2 linked regions of the Mus musculus genome follow. The protein of the gene in region 1 purifies or fractionates together with the protein of each later gene. This does not show direct contact. Links are inferred from orthologs where the notes say so. Each region holds a gene or a part of one and is shown in the gene's direction. Other genes may lie near its edges. The genes, in order: Spast and Nup160.

Region 1 (3,817 bases):
TTTTCTTTATCTTAAAGATAGTTTCACACTCTGTAGCCCAGATTGGCCTAGGACTCATATGTAGCCCAGGTTATTATTGAAGTCATGGCAGTCTTTCTGGCTCAGCCTCAAGAGTACTGGGATTATAGTTTGAACCGCCCTACTTGCCTGGCTTATAGTAAACATCATTATTAATAAGATTTTCGTTTTATAAGAATATAAAGTTGTAGCTGGGTGTGGTGGCACACGCCTTTAATCCCAGCACTTGGGAGGCAGAGGCAGGCAGATTTCTGAGTTCGAGGCCAGCCTGGTCTACAGAGTGAGTTCTAGGACAGCCACAGCTATACAGAGAAACCCTGTCTCAAAAAACCAAACAAAAAAGAAAACTAGAATCTACAACAGGAAAGGGTAAACCTAATAACCAAATCTCTTCTTTCAAACTGTTCCCAAGGCATCCTGGTTTATTTTCTACCTAGGATCTTATTCTGAGATATTTCTAAATTGAAAAGCCTTTGATATGGGTCAATGAAATGACTTGGCTGATAGGGGCACTTCCTGTACAAGCTTGGTGGCTTAATTTCCACCCTGGGTCCCCCGTGGTGGGAGGTGAGACCCAAAGCCCAAATGTTGTCTTCTGACTTCTACATTGCCATGACTTATGCACACTGACACACACATACATACACACATAATAATAATAAATAAAAATTGTTAACTTCTGGTAGTTTGGTTTTATTTATATAAGTATTATTAATTGTTATTTTTTATACTTACAATCAAAGTTTCTAATCATGATGGCTGTATTTTTTTTTTCCTTAATAGAAAGTGGAGCAGTTCCGAAGAGGAAAGACCCCTTAACACATGCTAGTAATTCATTGCCTCGATCAAAAACTGTCCTGAAAAGTGGCTCCGCAGGGCTCTCCGGTCACCACAGGGCGCCTAGTTGCAGTGGTTTGTCCATGGTTTCTGGAGCAAGACCGGGACCTGGTCCTGCAGCTACCACACATAAGGTACTCTACACTAGTGAGTGTAACGTGTTTTCAAGTACAAAACTTGGTTAAGCTTGCTGCTTTGTATTAGTTCTCTATAATACAGAATTGATTGGTTTCCACAGTGTTACATATAACTTTTGAATTTGCAAAAACTACTTGCTATTAAATTCCTTAATTTAGTTCCTTTGAGAATAATTAGGTATTTTATATTGGTTACTTCCCAAGTCTTTTTAGTGTAATGTTGTATTTGTCATCTTTTTAAAGATTATGTATAGTGTTCTATGTATAGTGTTCTACACTATATGTGTGCCTACATGCCTGAAGACAGCATCAGATCTCATAAATGGTTATGAGCCACCATGTGGTTGCTGGGAATTGAATTCAAGACCCCTGGAAGAACAACCAGTTCTCTTAACCTCTGAGCTATATCTCCACTTCTGTATATTTCATTTTTATTCTAGTTTTAGATGTCAGATTATATCAGTCTTATAACATTAAACATATCTAGAGTTTTGTTGTAATATTTTTCCCCTGAGACAGCCTAGAACTGTCTCTGTAGACAAGGCTCTAGGAAGAATCAAAGTTATATAACTTTTCTTTTAGAGTCCTCGGCTTTAAAAATAGATTTATTTATTCGTGTGTGTTTGTGTGTACACCTGTGTGTGCAGTTGAAGCTCAGAAGAGGGCATTGGGTGTCTGCCTATTCCTCTGAGGAGAGTCTGTGCTCCAACCTCAAGCTTGTATTCTCTTGACTAGGCTGGAAGCAGCAAGCCCAGTGATCATCCAGTTCCCTTGCCTTCACAATTGGAGCTCTAGGTCTAGGCATGCACAGGGTGACTGGAGTGTTATGTGAATGCAGCCACCCAAACTCCAGGCCTTAGAACTTTGTAGTACAAGTTCTTAACTGCTGAGCCATTTCTCTGTCTTGACTTTGTCTTTTAATAGTGACTTAATCTCTGGAGACAATCTATTATATTAGCCCTCTTCATGCCAAATTTCGTTCTATATTGAATATAATTTTGGGCCAAATAATCTTTAGAGTCTTGGTTCTTTTTTTCTTTGAGTCTGCTGTGTGTGGAGACCAGAGGTGGATGTCAGATAACTTCCTCAGCCACTTCCCATAGCACCTCTGGGGCTCACAGTGTGCTAGAGCAGCAGCCTGTGGGCTGCAGGAGCTGCCTGCTTGCCCTGGAGAGCTGGCAGGAGATGTGCTCCACATGCCCACCTCATGTAGTGCTCAGGATCTACACTCAGGTTCTTACAGTTGTACAACAAGCATCCCACTAACTGAGCCTCTCCACAGCTTCATATTTTCCTTTGTTTTTTTTTATTAAATTCTCTTAGTATTTACGGTGATTTATGAGTAAGAAGTCACTAAGTTGTTTCACATTAAATTTTGTGTCCTTCAAGGGTACTCCAAAACCAAATAGAACCAACAAACCTTCTACTCCCACAACTGCAGTTCGGAAAAAGAAAGACTTGAAAAATTTTAGGAATGTGGACAGCAATCTTGCTAACCTTATAATGAATGAAATTGTTGACAAGTAAGTTCAGCCAAGTGCTTCAACTTCTGTTTATTTTTATTTATAAACTACATATGTGTTACATAATAAACATTTTGTTTGCTTTCATACTTAATTTTTATGGTTGTTTTGACGAATTTTGCTAATAAACAATATTCCTGTTAACATGAAAATGATTGTTAAGCTAATACGCCACGTTTAAGTACCTGAACAATGCTTCTGTTGTGAGACTCACTGACTGTGTTTCCTAGTGGGACAGCTGTTAAGTTTGATGACATAGCCGGGCAGGAGCTGGCAAAGCAAGCGCTGCAGGAGATTGTCATCCTTCCTTCTCTGCGGCCTGAGGTAAGGGAGGGCTACGTTAGCAAGTAACTAACTCATCGCAAATAACTCCAAGGTCAGAGTGTAAGAAAAGTACATTGAAGCCTGGAGATGGACCAAGCATCAGCTGAGGAGGCTAAAGCAGGGGGGTTGTGGGCTCCATGGGCCACTCTGGGCCAGCCTCGGCATGACCTGTCTAACTCCTCCCTCACAGAAAGGCATTCACATTGGTTATGGTCACTTCTTAAAGGAGATGAAAATGATTGTAAGATATTCTGAATCCATTTTTAACTTTTATGAGAAAAGTAGTTAGTCATGATATAGTTTTTATTAAAAAATTGAGAGATTAGAAATTGCTTCTCCTCCCCACCTCCCCATGCTGAAGTTAAACCTAAGGCTTTAGAAGTCAGATGGCTACTACTGAGCCATATCCCAGTCCCAAGATTTAAAATTAAGAACTTTAAACTTGCCAGGAGTGGTGGCCCACACTTTTAATCCTAGCACTCAGGAGGCAGAGGTAGGCAAATCTGTATGAGATCGAGGCCAGCCTTGTCTACAAAGCAAGTTCCAACATAGTCAGGGCTGCTATAAAGAGAAAACCCAGTCTTGAAAAACAAAACCAAAAAACCCTTAAACTTAAAATAACCGAACAAAGGGGAAATTCAGATAAAATAATTCTTTAAGTCTGAAGAGCAAGTAACTATTTTCCGTGTATTTGCCAGGATATTAACAGCCAGCGAATAATGTGTGGGGATCTATCTGGCTTACCTCATATTTGCAGTCATTAAAGGAAACAGAAAATCATTAAGTTACTAATTAAAGTTTGGTTTGTGCCAGGCAGTGGTGGCGCACGCCTTTAATCCCAGCACTTGGGAGGCAGAGGCAGGCGGGTTTCTGAATTTGAGACCAGCCTGGTCTACAGAGTGAGTTCCAGGACAGCCAGGGCTACACAGAGAAACCCAGTCTTGGAAAAGACAAACAAACAAACAAAAAAGTTTGGTT
Region 2 (4,492 bases), on another chromosome or scaffold:
TTTTGTAGTGTTTAAAGATATTTTAGTTGGGTGGTGGAGAAACACCTTTAATCCAGCACTCGGGAGGCAGCAGGCAGGTGGATTTCTGAGTTCGAGGCCAGCCTGGTCTACTGAGGGAGTTACAGAACAGCCAGGGCTACACAGAGAAACCCTGTCTCGAAACACAAGAAAGACAAGGTATCTGGCTGCTTAGCCTATTTTGGGGGATCATTATAACCCAGTGCCCAACATGCAATCAAGACTGAAAAAATAAGTGTGGGACAAACCAATATGCTTCCAGGAACTGGAAAGCTACTTACTATGATTAATAGAACAGCATGAAGATAAAAACCAATATTTAAAAATCTAGAGAAATAGAAAAAAATAATAAGCCCTTTGCACTGTGGCTAGATCTCAAGTCATTGCTATTATCACTTTTGAAAGTCACTGGCCAAATGACAGGAAACCACATTCCTGGAACCCCCGAAATAAAGTAATTACATTGAAAGTGCTCACTGAAAAATAACACTAATTTCCACTGAAAGAAATTATTCCACTGAATAATTCAATAATTTCCATCGAATTACCACCCAAAAAAAGTCACTAAGTTCGGGCAATGTAAAGTGTTACTGTTAACTTACTGCAATTCACCTTGAATTTACTGTAACATGAACCAAAGGTCAAAGACAGCTTGAAGCTTGGAAAACATCACATCTCAAGTTCTATTCAGCCATAAACAAGAAGAAAATCATATCGTTTGAATGAAAATGGTTACGTTGGGGATCATCATTATTATTAATAAAGGAAGGCACAAAAATGCAAAATCTAGATTTAAATATATGTATACATGACATAAAAGGGGAGGGGAGGACTATTATTTGGGAAGAGGAAGGGGAACAGTAAGAGGGAAAGGGAGGACAAGATTTGCTAACAGGTGAATGTGAACAAAGTAGGCTAAAGTACATGTATGAAAATGTCATATGATGTCCATCATTTGTAAAATGAATAATAACATTAATAAAAAAGCAAACACACACTCTAATAAAATCTTCTGCCTACGTCTGTGAGACAGGGTTTGATGTAACCTAGGCAGGCCTCACACTTACTATGTTGCTGAGACTAGCCTAGAATGCCTCCACCCTCCAAGCACCCAGGATGACAGGTGTGGGCCACTATTCCCAGCTTCATCATGGACCCCCCATCACCCTCCTTTGCCCTTCTTCCCAACTAGTTCCTCTTCCACTTTCATGTCTTTTCTATCTGTGACCCACTGGGTTTAATTAGAGTTGCTTGAATGAGCATGGGAGGGAGTCTTATTTATAGGAGCACCGGCAACTAACCAGCAAATACACCACTGGAGAAAATTACTCCTCCCTCACAGCAGCCACTGACTTTACCTACGGCTCCTCGGGGAGCGATGGGGCCTCAAAGTCCAACCCCCACCACGGAATGTTGACAGGCCCTGTCTTTTGTGTAGGTAACCACAGTTATGATCTCACGAGAGCAGCCACCATGCTGTGTCCAGGAGGCAGTGTCGTTACAGCACACCTTCCCGTTCATCTTGCATTCTTTCTGCCTTGATAGAGATTTTGAATATGTGGGGGAAATGACACTAACAACAAGTTCCCCAAAACATATCTCATTCACCTAGACCAGGCTGGCCTTAAATTCAGAGATCTACCTGCATTTGCCTCCTGTGTGCTGGGGTTCAAGATGTGTGCCACCAAGCCGCACAACAGGTAATCTTTTAAAAAAATATTTTTTAAATTGTGTGTGTGTGTGTGTGTGTGTGTGTGTGTGTGTGTGAGCTTCCCTCTCAAAAAAAAAGTCTCTGAAGCAGAGATTTACACACAGGAAGGAGCACACAGTGTGCTCACAGAACAGCATTGCTAGGGGAGTGAAGAAAGCAGGATTAGGCAGAGAAAACTGAACTGAAATTGACCAGGATGGACCTAGATGGAAGCAAGGGACCAGGACCTTAGGCTTCATCTTGATCCACTGAGATGCATCCACTGAGTGCAGACATAACTCCCTTTTTGCCAAGTACAGAAGGACAGGGGTTAGCAGGGCTCTAGGGGAGACTTTATCTTAGTGAGATTTAGAGGAGTAATTTAGTAAAAATGGAAAAATTAAAGATGCTAAAATGAGGAATAGACCGAAGGTCAAGGTAGGGAGGGTGTCTCTCTATAAGTTCAGACACAGTTCAATGTACAGAAACAGAAGCATAAGGCTATAATTGCTGGTAGGAAAATATGGTTGCAGGGCAAGTTGTCTTCTTTTGTGAGGAATGGGGACGTCAAGACAGTTTCTGTTGCCCTGGTTGTCCTGGAACTCACTCTGTAATGCAGGCTGGCCTTTAACTCACAGAAACCCACCTACCTCTGCCTCCTGAGTGCTGGGATTAAAAGCTGCTTTTTGTTTGATTTGAGCCAGGGTTTTAGGCAGCCTCAGGCTGGCCTTGATCTTGACATAAATTGGAGGATAATCTTGAACTCCTGATCTACTTGCTTCCAAAAGCTGCTGTCAGTGTGCCACTATGCCCACTCGGCCGACTTCAGAGTAAGCTAAGAATGAGTGGGGGTGAGGGCTGGAGACATGGCTCAGCGGTTAAGAGCACCGACTGCTCTTCCCAAGGTCCTGAGTTCAAATCCCAGCAACCACATGGTGGCTCACAACCATCCGTAATGAAATCTAGCGCCCTCTTCTGGTGCATCTGAAGAGAGGTGTGGGCAGTGACAATCACGAAATAGTCATTAAGGCAATAAATGGTCAAGGGAAATGCAATTGCTGGGGCAGAATTATGGAACTTCGCAATGTTGTGATTCTGATGGAGTTGCCAACGAACATGTTCAGCTGTAAGCCTGAAGTTGTAGTTTAATTTATTTACTCATTCATTTACAAAGTCTCACTATGTAGCCCCAAACTGGCTCTGAATGATCAATCTTCAACCTCCAGAGAATACTGACCGATCCCAGAAAGAAATTCACAAACAATTCCTTGCACGTTTGCAAACTGTACTGTATTTTCGATAACTTCAAGAAGGTTGGGGCATTAATATTTAATTCAACGCATCCGACCCGTGTCGCTCAGAGTGGCAAGTGTCTGTAATCCTAGTACTCCGGAGGCTGGGGCGGGAGGATCAGAGTTCGAGGCCAACCTGAGCTGACATCTCAACACATACATGTGTATGCGGGTGTGTAAAGAAAAAGTTTCGCAAAAATGCCAACACAAAGAATCCCTCCTTCCTTTTACTTTTCCTCCTTGTTTCGCTGAACGATGAAGAGGCTGGATAACAACTTACACGCCAACGCTCTAACGGAGGGGAAGGTTCCCGCAAGCTGGGAGTGTGCCCGTCAGGCCTCTTCCCCGCCCGCGCCCGCTTTTCAAAATGAAAACACGCACAGCCCCGCCCCTGCTCGAGGCCGTCGGGAAAAGGGCGCCGCCGCCGCAGCCGCCGCCCGTCTCCGGCCGCTCCGAAGTGACCGCGAGTCAAGGCATCTTCTTCCCGCCTCAGCCTCATTCTCGCGGTGAAAAGCCGCAGATGAGCCTCCGACCCGCGGTCCTCAGGCAGCCAAAATCGCGCACACACATATCCCCGCCTCGCGCCACACCCCCGGAAGTGACGAGCCGACGTGACCCGCCCTTGTCCCGTCAGGCCTCACGGCGACGGCGGGAAGATGGCGGCGGCGGGATCCCTGGAACGGAGCTTCGTGGAACTGAGCGGAGCTGAACGCGAAAGGCCCAGGCACTTTCGGGAATTCACAGTCTGCGACATTGGTACGGAAAGGGCTTGGGAGAATGGGAGCCACTGCTTTCCCTCGGGCTCCCCAAGTAGGCCTTTGGTCTCCCCTGGTGGATCCAAGTCCACATGCCTGAAGCCTGTGCATCATCACATCTTGTCCTGTGCCTGACTTCTTCCTCCCTTTTCCACTCACTATTGTATGCACTGTCAGTCCCTTGCACTCTGCTCCTCGGCACTCTTCAGTGCCTGTCATCCCCCAGAGAACCGCGCATGCAAGCCCACCACATTCATTTTGTAGGGACTGCAAGTGCCGCGTTTGGAACGGTGAAGTACAGTGAGAGCGCTGGTGGCTTCTATTATGTGGAAAGTGGCAAGTTGTTCTCCATCACCAGGAACAGGTTCATTCATTGGTAAGTGCTGCGTTTTCCCTTCCCCCTACAGAGATGGAGGGTTGTCTAATGTGTAAATATCTGTGCCTGTTCCAAGTTACTACGTCTAGCCGTAATCCTCACACAAGCAGAGAACCGGTGTCTCGTGTTCATGTCAGAATCAGTTCTAGAAGTATTCTCGTACCTGGATAAAAACTAAAAGAGTATAGTTGAGATACAACACTGAAGACCCATTTTAGCCATTGATTCAAAATGTCATTATGGTCTTTCAACCTTAATTCTGTTGATGAGATTAAGCTTATACATGTCACACTTGGTGCTGAGTACTAGGAAATGATGCAAGATATTGTAGCAGTATAATAGTAGACATATATAGTGGGTG

What was found.
Region 2: the proteins of Spast (region 1) and Nup160 purify together in Homo sapiens (affinity purification with mass spectrometry; 3 studies listed by BioGRID and IntAct, with this or other methods). This does not show direct contact. The link is inferred for Mus musculus from reciprocal best matches to the Homo sapiens genes SPAST and NUP160.

Annotation. Positions count from the first base shown.
Region 1 is NC_000083.6:74,366,447-74,370,263, forward strand, and holds part of Spast (spastin), read left to right. Parts: intron 1-801; coding exon 802-989; intron 990-2,381; coding exon 2,382-2,515; intron 2,516-2,745; coding exon 2,746-2,839; intron 2,840-3,817. UniProt on the Homo sapiens protein: ATP-dependent microtubule severing protein that specifically recognizes and cuts microtubules that are polyglutamylated.
Region 2 is NC_000068.7:90,675,753-90,680,244, forward strand, and holds the start of Nup160 (nuclear pore complex protein Nup160), read left to right. Parts: upstream 1-1,462; 5' UTR 1,463-1,718; intron 1,719-1,761; exon of another isoform or gene 1,762-3,261; 5' UTR 3,262-3,656; coding exon 3,657-3,756; intron 3,757-4,019; coding exon 4,020-4,131; intron 4,132-4,492. UniProt on the Homo sapiens protein: Functions as a component of the nuclear pore complex (NPC). Involved in poly(A)+ RNA transport.